Schizosaccharomyces pombe: one gene and its partners. Changing the gene in region 4 together with the main gene of any one other region gives a genetic interaction. Each region holds a gene or a part of one and is shown on either strand. Other genes may lie near its edges. The genes, in order: spo20, tbf1, omh6 and sap18.

Region 1 (4,004 bases), on a different chromosome or scaffold from region 4:
TATATTCATACGTCTTAGTTAAATAAAATCCGTTTACAATTTCAAAAATTCACTTACAGCTTTTTCAAAGAGTATGTCTAATGTGTCCGATACTTCTGCCCATCTATTATCTATATCTTCAACGTCCACAATATCCTCCGCCCGACTTCTGTCTACTTTAGAAAGAAGCAATTCAATTAATCTCATAAAACGAGAAGAAACACTTTTTATGTTTTCATTGAATTCGGTATCAATTGATTTATAAAACGGTATATCAACCTTTGCCAATTCAGAGCAATAGGCTGTACTATTCATTAAACCCTTAAACAATTCTGACTCATCCATTATGCTATTGTTTACCCTACTGGATCAGTAAGGTTTTTGGTTTGGTTCAGGAATTTTCAAGCACTTTTACCACACGCTCAACGAATTACCGAACTTGAATATAGACATCGTTAAAGTACGAAATACAAGAGCTATTTTTATATATATAAAATATTTTACACAAATGCAAAATCTTAGCAGAATTATGTAAAAGCAATTATTTATGATTAGTTCAAAATTGTGAAACTATTAGCAGGCAACTATAGAGAGGTCTTTTATAATATAGGCATTCAATTTTGATCAAAAAGTAAAAAAATAATCAAAGTAGATGAATTACAAATTTAAAAACTTCGGATAATCTAGAATGGATGAAACAATCAAATCAGTTGGATCATCGAGCGTCCTTTTTTGGAAAATTAATGAACGATATATGTATTGAGACCTTCTATAAGGATTAAGAATTGTAACAGCAACCATCCCATGATGTTGATGATGGATCAACACATGACTTTCGAAATAAAATATTTATATATGCTTCGATCTATATACGATAATTTCGTCGAATAGTAAACCGTAAGTAGAAGGAAGTACCTGAGATGCTGAGTAAAAATAGAACGAAGACCTTTAAGAACTAAAACGCAGAACAAAGTTGAAAGATCGGCAAAAACTCTACACACTATTACTCTTATCAAAGGACAAACCACATTCATCTATTCTAGCAATTAAATCCCGTTCGGAGAAAGAAGTCTAATTTTTGTTCATCCACTGTTCTTCATGCCATGGACCGGCGTCAGATAGTTCGCAGCCACCTGGACATTGGCAGTTTCCACCGAGTTTAGCAGGAAGATTATCAGCAGGGATTTGTTCGAGCAGAGCACTCTTATAGTTTGAGCCTAAAATATGAATTTTTTTGACAGTTGCCTCATCCAAAAAACCTTTGATAAGATTAAAGGCAGAAGAGAATCCCCAAGGAGCGTTAATTACATAAAACTTGCCCATCCTTTCGGGGTAATAATCTTGACTCTTTAACGTGTTAATACTTGAAAAAAAAAAAAAAGAACAAAAATTTCAACATTTTCAACTTACAATGCTTGATGCTTGACGAATGTAGCTGTAAACCGAGTGAATACTAGTAATACCAACACCCTTTAGATCCATGATTGTGCACGAAGTTTCAATCAAGCCTCCTGCTTTACGAGAACAAGCGGGCTGAAGACGGTTAATAAAGATGAAAAGAAATATCAAAATGAAAAAATATATCACAAAAAATTCAACACAGTAGAAAACCAAAAGTTTTTCTATTAAAAAGCCGAAAAACCAGCCTTATATGGAATATGCAAATCCAAAGGAAAGGTTTGATTATGAGAATTACTGGAGATACATTTAATCATTTGAATTTACTTACAAACCGTTTTAAAGCAAGCATTTCATATTCATAAACCAAATTTTGCATCATACGCTCGGGAGTCGTGATTTGGTACAACTTCTTCAAATCAATGTTACCGAGTTGCTCAACGTATACCGGACGGCCGTCGATGTCAGTTTTATGATAAAATTGAGGGTAATATTTGGAAACGGCTTCTTTCTCATCATAATGAAAGTTTTTGATAAGATCATCAACACCAAATTCTTTTCTCCACTTTTCGCATTTAATAAACATTTCCAGCGACTGTTGCAAATTAAATTTACGGGCTCTCAAAAAACGCAACTAAGAATCCATTAGTACAAACACAAAGTTTCCTGCTGTACAACTTACTAAAGTGGCATCGTCTAATCTTTCCGTGTATCCAAGTTTTTGTAACTCTAAACGCATGCTATCTAGCGTAGCTTGCTGTGTAGAATTCAAATGCCCTGGGTGCCCTAATGGAGCATTTGGATTAGTTAGAGGATAAGGATCCGATATAGTTTCTGACATCTTTTTGTTTAGACGATGGTTGTAGAGAGAAGACCTAATGACCCAGTCTGTACAAGATGTATAAAGGAAAAGGAAGAACGTCAGCGACCTTAATACTAGTGGTCATCAGCCGTGGGGGATCAGTCAAGCGTGGGGGCCTTTTACCTACTACCGCAGGAACCTTTGTTGCCATGCTACACCCAACGCTATTGTTATATGTGAGTATGAGGATAAACTTCAGTGTTAAAAATCAGATGAGAGGAAGAAGCTCCTCGTATGAGGTTTAAATTGTGTATAACCAATTTTTCAACTTGCATGAAAAGTGCGACAAATTTGAGATGCAGAATGGCCTTCAACGAGGCGTTGAAGGTAAATAAAACATGGGGAAAAAGTGACAATTTAACTTTGTGGAAGCATTTTTTCTTTACCAAAAAAAACGAACGATAGATAATGTTTATTTTATTTAAGCCTTTGAGTGCGCTTGTGGTGATTTTCTGTCATCAATATTTATGCACCTGACAGCTTTGAAAGAGTAAACCAGGCACTAAGAAGCGTTATAGTACATAGAGTATAGAATATGTAAATGGATGATCATATTGCGATTTTGAGATTGTTGTCTATGTAAAAACGGTATAGGAGTATCGTAGCTGGATATTTATGTGAAGTAAAACAGTTCAATTTTATGATTGTTCAGTTTTCGTATTATAAATGAGGAGTAGAAAATTGTCATAGAGTTGTGATTAAAAAAGAACTTTAAATAAGCAAATATAGTAAAGGAAAAGAAATTTTATTGCAAATGGAAAAATATTTCGTGAATAAGCAATTTAACAAAAAATACATATTGAAACGTAAATAAAGTAATACTATACGACATAAAAAATAAAATAAAATAAAATCTAAAGAATGAATAAAATAAATAATAATTAGACTAACAGCCACTTAAATATATATACAAAATTTTTTTAAAAACTAGTTTTGTCTCGCAAACGTAATTATTGTTTCCTTCTCTTTCGATCGAACTTCAGCCATAATTTTGAAAGCGTTTCTTCCACGCAAAGTTTAACAAAACATACAAGAGTGAAAGGCATTGCTTGAATGGACAGTCCATTTTGTACTTGCATAAAATTTTCAAGTTAGTATCAAATTTTCTACATGTTAGCAATAATACATTTATTTACATTGATTTTACCTTTAAAGACCTATAACAATATAAATTTTTGATTATTATATTAACGTTACGGAAGGATAGTATAATCGTCAAAATATCGTTATAATTTAACAAACGAATAAATGCAGGAAACAATGCATTACGCAAGCTTGTTACTAAAGGCAGGAAGCATAGTTTGAATATAGGATGAAAACCGTGGATATCAATGTTATAAGCATTTAACATTGAATAAGTATGGTAGAGGTGAAAAGAATCAGTACTACGTTTCTTAATTGGCAACCTTGCACCTCAAACCCAGCTGAAGTGTACTTTGCACACGAGTCTATTACTACATGGTTTTTTTATACATATTAAATAATAGCAATGGTTATTTGAACTGCAATAACGGTAACCCTACCCCGATATCTCCAAGTTTGAAAATTTACTGCTTTTATGAAAATTTAGTTTACAGTTTGTTTTGGAAACGATTATGCTATCAGTGCAGAAGCTGAAAAAAAGAAAATTTCGGGATAGTAAAATTGTTTTCATGTCATTTCCCTGGCGGTGGTTTTGAAAAGCCCGAAGTTCCATTCATTTGAGTGGCAACTTAATTTTTCATCTATTTAAAGGATGCAATTTTAGTACCACTCCGCCGTATCT
Region 2 (4,989 bases), on a different chromosome or scaffold from region 4:
CCAAAGGCGCAGGCTGAACGAGTGTTAATCTCTGTTCATGCTGACTCCGATGTTAACGAAGACAAAGAAGTCGCCAGAAAGAGGTTGGGGTATGCACTCAAAGAAGTAGAGCGGCAAATTACCGATTTGATTGTGCATGAGGAAACCACGTTGACGAAAAATGTATCTAGTTCTTTGAATGCTCAGTCATATTTGCAAGATATCGAGGGAAAACTAGAACAATTGATGTTGGTTTATGAAAGAATTCGTTCGCTGGTAGTCATTCCATCTGAAAATTTGGGTCCCCTTCATGAGGCAATTGTAAATTTGCATTCAACATACATGACTTTGTATTGGCTTGGGGAGTTTTTTGGCATACAAGCAAAGTTATTTCCCCTTTTCCAGGGATCGATTAATGAAAATGAAAAGTATGCTTATTGTTTTGCTCAATGATTTTGGTATGCTAACAAATTCAAGACTTTCACGCTATTATCAAGCATCTTTACTATTACAAGAGTCTGATCAATTATTAAGCCGGTTTCCATTAATGGTATGAAATATATTTTCTGTTTCTTGGCTAATTATTGTAGAAAAGACAATCGTCCGTTTCTTTACTCTTAAAACTTAATATAACCAATCGATCGAGAATTATAAAAGAAACATCCAGCTATCTATTATCACAAGAAGATCAACTTTCTTTCAGTGTGAACTCTAATGGTTTTACAAATGCTTGCTCTGTTTTATATATGTTAGACAAATATTTGTTAGAACAGGACTTAACTCGTCTTTTAAGTTCTCGTATACAGAAGGCCATTATACAATTCGACTCGATTTTCCAACTGTCCCCCACTACACGAAGACTCCTACATAACAGTACAGATCCTTCAGCGGCAAATTCTACTATATGGTCCAAATTTGAAGACGGGTGGTACCAAATTTCAAAGATTGGTGCACAATGCGTCTTTTGGGAAAGGTCACTTCAAAAGGCTAATATTTGTAATCCAGACTACCCAAATTTATTAGAATATTTTCAAATGCAACCAAATTTTATCCTTGATGGTGCAACTATTTGTATCTATTTTTTCAAAGAGCTGGCAATTTCTATCAGCAGCAAAATGCAAATGCTTGATCGCCGTGATCCAATACTCTTGCGGGTATTCCGAAGCGATTTTCAGCGAGTTACGCATATTGTGGAACAAGCTATTGCCAGGTCATCCTCCGAAATTGTAAATAAAGATACACGGGAATGTTCAATTGTAATGAATAGCCTCCGAGTATTAGCACCAAAAAACCCATAGATTAATAATAATTATAATTTATACATAAAATGCCTCACGCTTAATCGTTTTAGTATTTAAAAAAAAATCGCAAACTTAATCAAGAATGAAATAAACTCCTGATACTACTTAATCTCGCCGAAGATCGCCTGTAACACATTGTAATGCTGCGGGGACCACCTGACCACTTTTGAGAAAAAATAGTTTCATATTGCGAGCCTTATCTTTCAACTGAACTTGATTGCGATATTTCAAAACTTCACTCTTTTTGCCTCCAGGACCATAAAGCTCCAAAATTTGGCTCCACCGGGGACCTTTTACTAAATCAAGACCATCAAGCAATGCTTCCTCTTCCTCTTTTGTCCAAGATCGACGATTGGCTACGCGCCTCGTACGCTTGTTATTTAGGTTATTATTTGTCATATGTCGAACCTGATCATAAAGAACGACACTGGATACATTTTGTGTTTCCGAGGAGCCGTCAAAAGTTGAAGATGGTATACCAAATGCGAGACTATCGGTCAGGTCTGAACCAGATTCTGAAGGGGATGATTCGGCTTCGCCAGCCTTAAACCTCAATCCGTTCTTCTTGGATCGTCGTTTGAATGAGTTAGCAGGAATTGGAATGGCCGAAATAGACGAGTAATTGTTATGGATGTAACAAGCAATCTCGCTTAAAAATTTCCCCCATGGATATACTTCATTTAAAGCTTCCTGTGGGGAGAAGTTTGCCAATCTTTCTTTTCTAGCCGTACATTTCTCTATGATTTGCTTTTCAACATAAGTAAGTTTGTCATCCAGCTTAGCATTTCGTCGGATAAGAAATCGATGGGCCATGTCAGAGGGAAAAAGATCGTTTAATATGTCTCCCTTGGGACGTTCTGCCTGAGCCATAGCCGAAATATATGCTTGGGTTTTGAGTTCCATATAAAGAGTGCCCTGATTAGTGAGGATATTAGATTCGTCCGGAGCAAAAACCTCCAGAAAATTTTCATTCAAATGAAAAAATCCAATTTGTAGCGCTCCATAGACAGCTGCCAGAAAGATAGCAAGATTTGCGCGTCTAGTCGTACTTCTTTGACTCGGCGTCCTCATACCAATGGCAGAGGAATAAATAAAAGATTCTTCAGTATAAATGTCCTTTACCATACGAAACATATTCATTACTTTGGTAAAGGCCATACCCATTTCGGAGGCTGGATTAGTGACAATGGCAGATGCCTCTTGTACTGGCTTCCCAAGAATTGACAAAATTATGTTACTAAGGTTACCAAGAGTAGGAATAAGAGATGTACGAAGAAGTTGCTGAGGTGTAGCAATAGGATTAGGTTGGTTGAAAGCGTAATCCATGCCTTGATTCATGCGTAAATAAAAGTCCGGCGTCATATTAAATTGAATTCCGGAAAGATCAAACCCTAAAGGAATTTCTGCATTTGGTGCAACATTTTGAGGCTCGAGTTCAGAATTTTGTTCTGATAATTGTTGTAACATTTGGCGATCTTGTTCGAGGGCAGTTGATTCTGGATCAATCGCTAAGCGTTTTTGACCCTTAAAATCATCACTAGGGTCTAAGGATCGTTTTGACATTTTCTTGGAAATCGTAGTTTTTCAATTGATCAAAGAAAATACAAACTATAGGTGAGAAGCAGTCTGATTAATCGATTGCTAAACAAATCCAAGGAGCAACGATATCCAGTGACTACCGAATAGTAAATCTTGCATCAAAAGTTCCAATTCTTCTTTACTACAAGGTTTTTTAAAATATATCCTTCCAATGCAGGCAAAGTAACAACCAAATGCGAGTTTTCAGGTATTTGTGTGTCAATTGATTAGGACAGCGTATATTTAATTGACTCGTAATAAAAAATCTCTTGCATATTTCACTTCATTGGCGTTCGTTATTTTTATTAACGAATTCCAATAAGCCAGATGTGTTAAATACCATTATATCGTTGTATTTCTTTACTAATTTTATCAACATTTCATTCCTTTGTAGAAGCGATATCTGGACATTATTAACTAATGAATAAGCTGTAACTACTACTAGTAGTTCCTACATATTAGATACAAAATCCGTCTAAATTGGCAAAACTTTTTAAAAAAAAAGACCAAGTCTGTATTGCATCTATTTCTCTATTTCTCAATTGCCTTCTTGTATTTTTCGTTAGCTGTGTAAAATGCAGTGGCGCTTGTTTAATTTACGAGATAGAATTCTGTGCTAAATTAGTTCAAAATGAATAAATACGGTTAATGACAAAGAATTATACGATATAGACTTATTTAACAACTGGGAAATTCCTGTTGAACATATATGCTTGCAATATTAAAATTCAAAACAATCGTATACCACGAATTGATGCCACCAAGGTCTGTTTCATTGAAAGATGGAATGTAAAACGTAGTTCGAAAAAGTTGCATATTTCATCACAAGTGCTTACCAGCCAAAAAAAATTCAGTCTATCAGTTTCATAAGAAATTTCAACAGAACAATCTTGTGTGTCAAATTTTTATTCAGATACGTATTTCTTATTCATGCCAAGTATCACTGTAGTAGCTGGGAAATTTAGATGGTCCTAATCCCTAGAGATTCTCCTTATTCACATCCTCTTACATCAGTATCCAAACTATCCATAAGGCAACAAGTGATGAGTACTATTACCTTTTAGTAGTAGTATTTTTACATTAGAAAGGCCTCAAATTTTTATATATTGGGTTAAATTGTACAGTCCGCAAATAATTTAATTACATTTATTTCGCTAACATAACCCGTATAAGCACGTTTCATATTCTTGACATTATTGTGTAGCCTCAGGAATCGCTTCCAACGTTTATTATCATGGATTTTTTTTGGGAACGAATGTTAAATGATCCTCAAAACCATTTCAGTGATGACCAAAAGGAATTTCTAAATCATGCAAAATACCGTGTCAAAAGAAATACGATTTTTGGGATGCTAGTCGGGTTTTCTCTCCCATTATACTTAGGTATGAGATTTCGAACAAGCAATTGAAAATAACTTTCTTATTTTTTAGCTCGTAACAAAAAGGTTACTCCAATCCGCTTGTATGCAACATCAATTATAGGAGGTCTTGCTGGAAATGGGGTAAGTTTTAAGTAATACTAAGCTCAAGCTTACAAATTATGAATAGGTTGCTCAGATTACTACTCTGGCATACAATTTGTCGGCTATACGTCAAAGAGATGATGGCTTTGAAATACTTCGCAAAATACAAGACTCCCTTATTCGACAAAGAACAACGATGCGACAAGGCAGATTTCCTTCTTCATCTTCTGAATTCCCTCCAAAAAACTCAAAATATCAATTACCTGGAAGTATGCCGAATACTGGTGCCTCTTCTAGTCAAGATCCCTTTACGAATTCACAGAGTACGGAGAAAGAGGACGCCATGTACTCTAAAGACAATGGCTTTGAAGATCGATCAAAGCCAGCGTCAGCATGGGAAGCTATTCGTAACCGTAATCGAAATACCGGTAACAATTCTTTTCCATTTTACGAAGAAGACTCGAGTGTTAAATCCACAGATAGTGCTTTTAGTGGACAAGAAAATTCTGAAGCATTTCCTTCCCGAACTTCTAATCTAGGCTCTGAACAGTTGGATGAACCTATTTCTCACGAACAGGAGGCATTTGATCAATTGATCTGGAATGATTCATCGTCTTCCAAATAATTTCCTTTATCTCTACATGTTACGATAATTTAAAATTAATTTTT
Region 3 (4,701 bases), on a different chromosome or scaffold from region 4:
GAGCACCCTAACTCATCTCGTCTTCAAAAACTGCGTGCACCGGGCCTATGTCCAAACGGTAGCCCCAATTACAGGAATAGATACAAACTTATAGTTTTTAATTTGCTCATTGCTTTACTAATATTGAGCATCCTGACAATTATTTCAGCTAGCAGGCTTTCCCGTCGGCGTCGACAACTGCTGAACAAGCAACCAGTTTTTGGTTTTTATCATTCGCTTGTAATTGCCAAATCAGACTGAAATGTTGACAATTCAACGACCTAGTAAACGATGAAAAGGAGCGAAAGGTTTTTTTTATATACTCTCTTAGGGTAGCATTTCTAAATCATTTATTGCTAATACACTTGTGATGTTGCTACAAACAGCCCACAAAACTGATTGTTAAAAACTTTGTAGTCCATTTAATTTGACAAGGACTTATACACGAAAACAAAGTACCTCAAAATATGACGAGAATATTATCATTAAAAATTCAGTTTAAGTATACAAAATACCATACTGGCAACCTACCTCAAACGGTCAAGCTGTACAAACGAAAACTACATCGACAGGTCAGCCTGTTTCTCATCAAAACATCACAACGCCCATTTTTATTTGTTCATTAACAGCGAATTGGAAGTTTAAAAAATTCAGTTTTAAATGACAAAGTAAAATTGTAATAAAATAATTAATCGTATTCATACACATGATTAAACTATCATAAAAGAAGAACTACCCAAATGAAAAATGTCAACTGTATGGTTTTACCCAACTGCAAGGATCCAGAGATCATGTAGCGAAAGATTTAGGAATATACAGTTGTCAGAGGATCAACCAATTCCTCTCCAAAGGAGAAGGATCAGGATCACTCCAATCGTTTTAGAATCTGTTGGCTAGGCTACGCAGCATCCTTTAGTCAATTTTCATGGCAAGACGCCAACTCTCAACCTGCAGTCGAAACTGCAAGGACAATCGCCGCCCTGTCTGTACTCTTGTCAACCTCTACACGCCAACCATGTTACACGCAAGATTCTCGAAAGAATCTGAACAATGTAACTTCAGATTCATGATAGGTTATAACGAAGTGCAAACGAGACTTTATATAGTTTGTTGAAAATTACAACCCTAACCCTAGTGACTGTTTTACCCTTAGTAGTCTAGGAATTTTGGTGTTTCCAGAAAGCAAAAAAAAAGGCTCGTTAAAATAAGATTGTGCATTATGAACAACCACAGTATATAATTTGATCGAAAGTAGTGAATTAGTTTGCAGATATTGGGAAAATGTCTTAAGATACATATGCCACTTGGGTTTATGAAATATTATTTTATAACATTTTACTGAGTTTGTATTCTAGAACAGCTGAAGCTTTCCTATACTTAAACTTATTGCTTTTGTTTACATTCATCAGCAACAATGAATTGTTTAATAGACATTAAAAACCATTATAAAAGACGAATGCAAATTTTATAATTCCTTTGATAGAACTTAAATATTCCAACAGTAATAACAGCTCGACATAGCGACTATCAGTACGCTTATGCAAATGTCATTTATAAGATTATGCTCGTTAGCAGATTCTTTCAGTGATCTACCCATCAAACATTGTATACAAAAATTGATTTGCTAAAAATAAATATTTATACTCAAAGAGCTCTCTTTTCTAAGGTCAAATCTCTAGCAGGGTATTAACATTTGCCCTTAACCATTGTCTTAGGCAATTTCAGTTAAATTCCTTCAAATCCACTTTCTATGCGTTACTTTTGGAGTCATACGTTAGTTGAACTAGTTACTTCTCATAACAGGGAAAGTTCTGCTCGTGTTTAAGCTTCATTATGTTTTACGAACTTTTACTTTCCATACTACCAATTGTATTTACCTGGTTGAATGGATTCTCTGTAAATGAACCCAACAATGTATATGTGATTCTTAATGAACCTCAAAGCTCCAATTTGAGTGCTTCTTTTCTGATGTTTACCGCGTACGGTGCCATTTGAGATGTACTTTCTAATTCTGTTTTCTAGTAATGCTGAACTTGGGGAAGTGTTGCGCACGATGCGTAGCGTAGAGGATAGATTTAATAAGAGGTTTCATTATCCTTGGACGTTTTACGGCATGGATGAGTTTACGGAATACTTTATGAGTACGACAAGCACGATTGCGTCTGGTCATTGTGAATACGGTACGAAGGGAATAACTTATACCAATCATTTACAATTTATTCTAACTATCTCTTACTTAGTGCATTGGGATCTTTCTCAAGTAAAACCCCTAGTTGAAAACAATCGACTTTATCAACAACGAGCAGATGCACTTGCTCAAGAGAATCTATCTTACGTATACTCTCCTTTGTTTCACAGTTTTCAAGATTGGGTAGTTCGATCTTTATTATATCATCCTCAATTGGAATACGATTATGTTTGGAGAATAGAACCCGGGCTCAAATTGGTTTGTGAAGAAAAAAAGTAAGAAACTCGGTAAAACTTGTTTATTTCGTTCTTCTTTTTCAGGAAACCTAACTAATATTTTTGTTCAGAGATATATTTTCTACTTTCAAAGACAGCGACATTGTATTTACAAACCACGTCTGTGAACGTAAACACTCTGGTATATATGCTATGGAAGAGGCAATTGAAGAATACAAAATTTTAAACACTCAAGGAGATTTCAGCAATATCTGGGTTTATAGTAACAACTACACCTATTGTAAATACTGGCCTTTTAATGAAATTTTATCTCTAAAGCAAATTCGGCATAATCAGACCTACACCAACCTAATTAATTACTTGCTTGGTTCAGGAGGAACATATTATCATCGCTGGAGTAAGTAAATTGCTTCTTCAATTTTGGAAATGACTTTATTTAACCTGTTTCTAATATAAATGCTTCACGTTGTACTTTTTGCTGACATTTATTTAGCCGAGTCTGATATCCTTTCAGCAGCATTTGGTGTTTTAAGAGCGCGTGCTAATCATATGGAATCAGTGGGATTTTTCTTAAACGATGATGTTCATTATTGCCCAGAAACTATTCCATACACAGGAAGATGTGCATGTTTGTGATATTAATTGATGAATGAGCTTTACAGAAAATTTTTGTTCATACGAATTTGTTTTATGAAAGTTATTGTAATATGTGCATTTTCATTTACAAACGTTGAGACACTTGAAGTGAAAAATTAATCTGGTAGTGGTAAAATTATAGCGTTGTCTTTCCGTTTTTCAATCCTAATCAATAAATATGTATATATCATGTGTTTATTCTTCATCATTTTGCCTTGGTTTTATAAGTCCATCGGTGATCTTGTAATATACTATCGTTGAGTCAGAACACATGATTCCCAGGTATAGGAAAAACTCATCTCCAGAAAGACCTCGAGCATCCTTTACAAGTGGAAGGCTCAGTTTCTTCATAGAATCGAAAACAGAGGACAGAAACTCGATCGAAATTGTCTCTTGGAGGTAAAGCGGCAGAACATATTGCAATTTGTCTTTGAGCTGTCCATTTACGGGAATCCCTGAGAGTAAAGGCCTTTTTGTTTTTAAGTCAATATCAAGAACATGTACCTTTAATTCACACCAACGTTGACCGAGCCTTAAGTCGGTTTCCACTGCTCTCAGTATTCCATAGTATGGATTTTGCTTTTGCTCTTCTACAGCATCGTTAGGGAGAAATGTATTATGTTGCATGTGTATTTGTTTATAATAAATATATCTTTACTTTTGAGAAGGAAAATTTTGTTGAAAAAATGAATTATCGCCTCCGTGATAAAACTTTTAACTTCAACCAAATGGCACAGAAAAGGAACAAGCAGTCAAAAAAGCCTAAACAGACTTCAAAAGGAGTTAAGAAATCCTCAAAACAAAACAAAAACTCCTCTAAAAACAACAAATACCAACAAAACGTCCTTTTACAGAGTATTGATGATTACAACACTACGCAGAGCGTACTAAGAAGTGCTCATAATAGCGGTTCGAAGATGAGCGATATATCCAATTCGATCCAGCTTCTTTCCATGACCAAAAAGCAGGAGAATTAATTCCTGAGCTATTTTCGTTTCATGGTTCATTTCGCAGTTTTGGCATTGGCCATTGTCTGAACTTATAATGTTTTTACTGGGTTTCGGGTTTACTTTTAAAATTTTCTTGTTTTTATTTTGCATACTTAATTTTTATGAAATTTTATTTTATTATACTTGTATTATTTGTAAATAATTGTGGTTTGTATCTAATTGTGTTAGTAGTAGTTTCTGATTTTTTACAATAAGAACGCACAAATCCTATTCCTAGAACTACATTCCACCTGCCCTCAACCTAAACCTACTGTTGGGTCATAGAATCGAAGTCGAACGTAGTGTTTGAATTTTTTAACTATCACTTCGTTTACATAATACATTTGTGTAAAAATTGAAGGGTTTCTAACTTTTTGACTAAGGGAGATACCTAAATTTTGGAAAGAATTGTTTATTAGAAAACTGCTTCATTTTTTTTGTATAATCAGGCCTAAAAAGAAAAAAAAATCTTTTTTCCTCACTAATATCTTTACTTAGTTAGCATTATGTCTGCTCAAAAGTTGAATTTGGAGGATGTTAATGCTTCTACAAAAAAATATTCTAGAGGGCGCAAGCTGAATCCAAAGAAAATCAAGGATAAAAAGCTTCGAAGCAATATTCAGAAAATCGAGGAGAGAATTGAGAATGTTGAGTCTTCCTTGGCGAAAACCGA
Region 4 (3,749 bases):
TGCTAACTGACTGTGAATGTAGAAAAGTATGTCATAAACGAAATCGCCAAAGTACTACTTCTTCGCCCAACTGTTAAGACAGATCCTTTATCGTTACCTATTCAAAATGTTCCCGCACGTCTTCCTGAAAATCCTCCTGCATATCCTAAGGGGGTTTTAGGAAATACGATTTTACCTCTTCATTCACCTGCTTTATCTGGCGGTGGTATCTCTGAAAATATGTTCCAGGAAATGATGCAGGAAATGCAAAAGCAACCTGGATTAGCTGGAGGTATGAATCCAATGGCTGCACTTGCTGGTATGGGAGGCCCTGCTCCTCCTATGCCAACTCCCCAAGCATCTTCAAGCCAGCGAAAACAAAAGTCAATTGAACCAGAATATGATTTGGATTTGGAGTAAACTTATTGTTTAAAACTGAAATATTAGGAATATAGGTGCTTTCGACTATTAGCAAACGCTCATGGATATTAGTAAATTTTTTTTCTCGTCATCTTTTAACAAAAAATTTTTTCCTAATAATGAGTATGGATGTAGAGTTTCATTAAAGATGAGTTCATTTGCACAGCACATTCTGCTTTTTTAAGACTGAGTTCTGGTGGCATACTTAATATTTTTCTGTCTTTTATAAATGTTTCGCCTCTCGTTATATCAGAAGCTGTTTCATTGTAGTTTCTTTCATGCCAATTCAGAGGCGAAATTTTTGAATATTCTATCATTAGTAAACCATGTTTGACATAGTCGTTTTCAAAAGTTTAGTGTGAACTGTATAATTAAATTCTTTTTCGACAACAAATAGCATCTTTTTCGTACTTCAATCCGTATATTCAGGTAAGTTTGATGACTCTCTTTCCTGAAAAGTAATAAATCGCTTTAAAGCTTGCAAACACTAACATGTGAAAGGTTAGACTGGGTACTTTATCTAAAATCTTACCTTTCTCTTCTTTTCGTCTTTAAGTATATTTGAACTTGGATTTGCTTGTAATCGTTGATGTGCACTTCTTTCATGAATACCAACCATAGTAACTCCAATAGGCCAAGGTGCATTTCCAATTGTCAGACGTAAATACATATCATTGGCTTTGACAAATTCGTGTTTTTGGCATCTGTAACAAATTTCAGCTATGCTTTTAAAAATATCGTCGTTTAAAGCTTCATCGACTATCAGTTGTATAAGTACATCAAGATCTTGCTTAGCTTGACGAAATATTTTTAATTGCATCTGACTCTCAGAACTTTCGAAAGAGTTGATGGATTTTGAAGACAAAAAGTTGTCCCAAATGCGGATTCCATGTTGAAGAAAAGCAACTACTTGCTTGGATACTTTGGGTTTGGTGGTAGTAGCATGCTCAAAGTCGATTGTTTCAACTCCTTTAGTAAGGAGTTCATTTTCAATTTCTTCCAGTTTTTTGTATTTTAGCAAACTGTAATATCGTTGAATGGTAGCCTCTTCTGACTCTCCAAACAAACGAATTGGCTCTTTCATCTCACGAAGCTTTGCAATAATTTCGGTCAACGTGAGGTTGTCTTTTGTGATTTCAGGTATTGATAAACGGTCGTTTTCGGAGACAGATAATTTTGTACTTGCAGGTGACGCTTTGACAGCTGGTGAGGGAGTTGTTGTTTCTGTAAGCAACTCTTCATTTCTACTGCTCTCTTTGTTCGCAAGTCGTGAAATGCGTAACTTCTTTTCTTCATATTTAAGACGTTCTTCTTCCAACTTTCTTTTTTTCAACTCTCTTTGCTCATCCTTTTGTTGTTTTTCCTGCAGATATTTCTTTTCCCTTTCCTTCTCCCAATCCCCTCGTCGAAACGCCTTTTTTACCGGAAGTTCGCTCGTTCCTTCTAGTTGGCGACGTTTACGTTCAATTTCTTCCTTTAAAAAATCCATTTGGGAGGTTTAGAAATGGATATTCGTGAAAGTCGCTCTCAATCTCCTGAATTAAGCCAAAGTGAAGATGCTGTTGGTCCGTGCCCTTTTCTCATTTCAGTATATCATCAGTTCCAAACAAAAAATCATGTTTTAGACATCTTTGAAGACGTGATTCCTTCTATTCAAGTTTATGGATGGTAAGTAAATCGTGTTAACGGGAAAATTTCAGTTGTTGTATATGAACTCATACTTCATTGGGACTACGATTAGAAAATCCGTCAAAGGATCATCCATGAACAATTTATATGTCAATTAGATTTATATGTTTCAAATCTTAAACTTTTATGCTAACGATTAATCTTAGGTTGACCATGACCCTTTATGAACTGGGAGTTCTCATTGCAGATCAACTTCTTTTGAATAACGAAGAAACAAGACATTCTGAATGGTCATTGCAAATTAGAACAATTTTTTACGATAAGTATAAAGATCGCCCGATAGCCAGGGATCTAGGTACTGTTTGTTTGCACAATCCAAAGCTATTTCAAGGCAACAAATTATTGAAAAGAACGGGAATAAAATGCGGAGACAAAATTGATGTTACCATAAAAGAGGATAAAATTAGAATAAAAAAGTGATTCCTTGATCGGATGGTACATATATATTTTTTGGAAGTTTAATGGGTTTGAGAACGATATAAAAAACGAAGTGCATGACTGAAGAATTCTATTGTAAGATTTATTTAAAAGCTTATCTTAATTCTATTTATATACAAAATCATAAACCGCTACAACCCTGTTCACTAATCTCATATTGTATGTTTATAAGCTTTGAAGCTTTGAAAAGATTCGAAGCTCTTTAAGTTGAGAAATTTTTTTTTCCCATACTCTTAAAAAAACCTTTGACGCATTAAGAAAAAATTGTTAGTGTACTTACTATTTTCCTTATTGAGTTATGGAGATATACTTTAGCTCGAGGCCTATCAAGGATTCAGGAATCACTTCTGCTAAATTTATATATATGCTGTAGGAAAAGAAAGCGTTTTTTTTATTATAATTCACATTGGAAAGGATTCAACACTTTAAATAGCAGAATCTTTTATCATTTTTTTTGAAGCGATGGATTAAGCGGTTAATGTTTTCCATTGTTTAATAGCGCTAACATTCGGAAATCCGATTGAAACTATTTTTCAAAAAAGAATTATAACTTCTATTATTAACATGGTTGATATTCGCATGATAAATGCACCATTGATCCTCATAATGTAAATATCTATTCCTTTAAAAATGCTGTCAACTCACCTTTGGCTACTTAACTATTTTCAAAATATAAAACTCGTATTTTTTTTTTGCCTAAATACAATTAAAAAACCATTCGCAACCCATACAAACAGAAAACGGATTGTAAACAGTTAAATTATAATTCAGGCAAGTAACAGACTTAAATATTTATAAAGTTTTATTACAGCCCGATGTTATCATTGCTAGAGTAAATGAACATGAATCAAGGTTACTCCGTTTGCAACAGCTGTAAGAAGCTGAATTGTTATTTTCTGAATCGGTGCTACAAGCTAACAGCCCAAAATCACTTATTATTTTTACAACAACTTTAAGCTGATATCTTCGTTTCATAACTAAATCCAAAGTATATTCCTTCAATTATTTAATTTCATTTAAATTTAATATGAGTATTACAATATGTATAACTAAAAAAAATAAGTTTTCAATAATCTCCTTTAGTATAGGGGTAGTACACAAGCCTGTCACGCTTGCAGCCCGGGTTCGAATCCCGGAGGGAGAGTAAATAATTGAAACTTTTTTATTTAGCTAAACAAAGCTTAGTTTTTGAAGCTTTGGCATCATTATGACCGATATTATAT

What was found.
Region 1: mutations in sap18 (region 4) and spo20 together harm fitness more than expected from each alone (negative genetic interaction), as found in Schizosaccharomyces pombe (one large-scale study listed by BioGRID).
Region 2: mutations in sap18 (region 4) and tbf1 together harm fitness less than expected from each alone (positive genetic interaction), as found in Schizosaccharomyces pombe (one large-scale study listed by BioGRID).
Region 3: mutations in sap18 (region 4) and omh6 together harm fitness more than expected from each alone (negative genetic interaction), as found in Schizosaccharomyces pombe (one large-scale study listed by BioGRID).

The regions. Positions count from the first base shown.
Region 1 is NC_003424.3:607,206-611,209, reverse strand, and holds spo20 (sec14 cytosolic factor family, phospholipid-intermembrane transfer protein Spo20/Sec14), read right to left. Parts: upstream 2,242-4,004; 5' UTR 2,219-2,241; coding exon 2,060-2,218; intron 2,012-2,059; coding exon 1,709-2,011; intron 1,682-1,708; exon of another isoform or gene 1,513-1,681; coding exon 1,390-1,512; exon of another isoform or gene 1,368-1,389; intron 1,327-1,367; coding exon 1,051-1,326; 3' UTR 507-1,050; downstream 1-506. Other genes in the region: exosome 3'-5' exoribonuclease subunit Rrp6, read right to left, coding at 58-324. UniProt on the Schizosaccharomyces pombe protein: Required for transport of secretory proteins from the Golgi complex. Catalyzes the transfer of phosphatidylinositol and phosphatidylcholine between membranes in vitro. Essential for viability and secretion.
Region 2 is NC_003423.3:2,372,028-2,377,016, reverse strand, and holds tbf1 (DNA-binding factor Trf1), read right to left. Parts: upstream 3,093-4,989; 5' UTR 2,844-3,092; coding exon 1,386-2,843; 3' UTR 1,278-1,385; coding exon of another isoform or gene 570-1,277; 3' UTR 530-569; downstream 1-529. Other genes in the region: COG complex subunit Cog5, read left to right, coding at 1-407, 457-529, 570-1,277; SPOM_SPBC19G7.18C (uncharacterized protein), read left to right, coding at 4,093-4,240, 4,289-4,359, 4,406-4,945. UniProt on the Schizosaccharomyces pombe protein: Binds the telomeric double-stranded TTACAGG repeat and regulates telomere length.
Region 3 is NC_003424.3:3,391,224-3,395,924, reverse strand, and holds omh6 (alpha-1,2-mannosyltransferase Omh6), read left to right. Parts: upstream 1-1,680; 5' UTR 1,681-1,975; coding exon 1,976-2,442; exon of another isoform or gene 2,443-2,513; coding exon 2,514-2,800; intron 2,801-2,818; exon of another isoform or gene 2,819-2,896; coding exon 2,897-3,039; 3' UTR 3,040-3,234; coding exon of another isoform or gene 3,235-4,016; 3' UTR 4,017-4,175; downstream 4,176-4,701. Other genes in the region: pdi4 (protein disulfide isomerase), read left to right, coding at 1-240; tRNA-splicing endonuclease subunit Sen15, read right to left, coding at 3,235-3,666; SPOM_SPAC959.11 (uncharacterized protein), read left to right, coding at 3,651-4,016; U3 snoRNP-associated protein Utp7, read left to right, coding at 4,535-4,701. UniProt on the Schizosaccharomyces pombe protein: Probable mannosyltransferase involved in O-glycosylation of cell wall and secreted proteins.
Region 4 is NC_003421.2:2,139,329-2,143,077, reverse strand, and holds sap18 (SAP128 family histone deacetylase complex subunit), read left to right. Parts: upstream 1-1,888; 5' UTR 1,889-1,903; coding exon 1,904-2,067; intron 2,068-2,234; coding exon 2,235-2,508; 3' UTR 2,509-3,195; downstream 3,196-3,749. Other genes in the region: putative signal recognition particle subunit Sec65, read left to right, coding at 23-399; U5 snRNP-associated protein Prp18, read right to left, coding at 812-886, 932-1,888.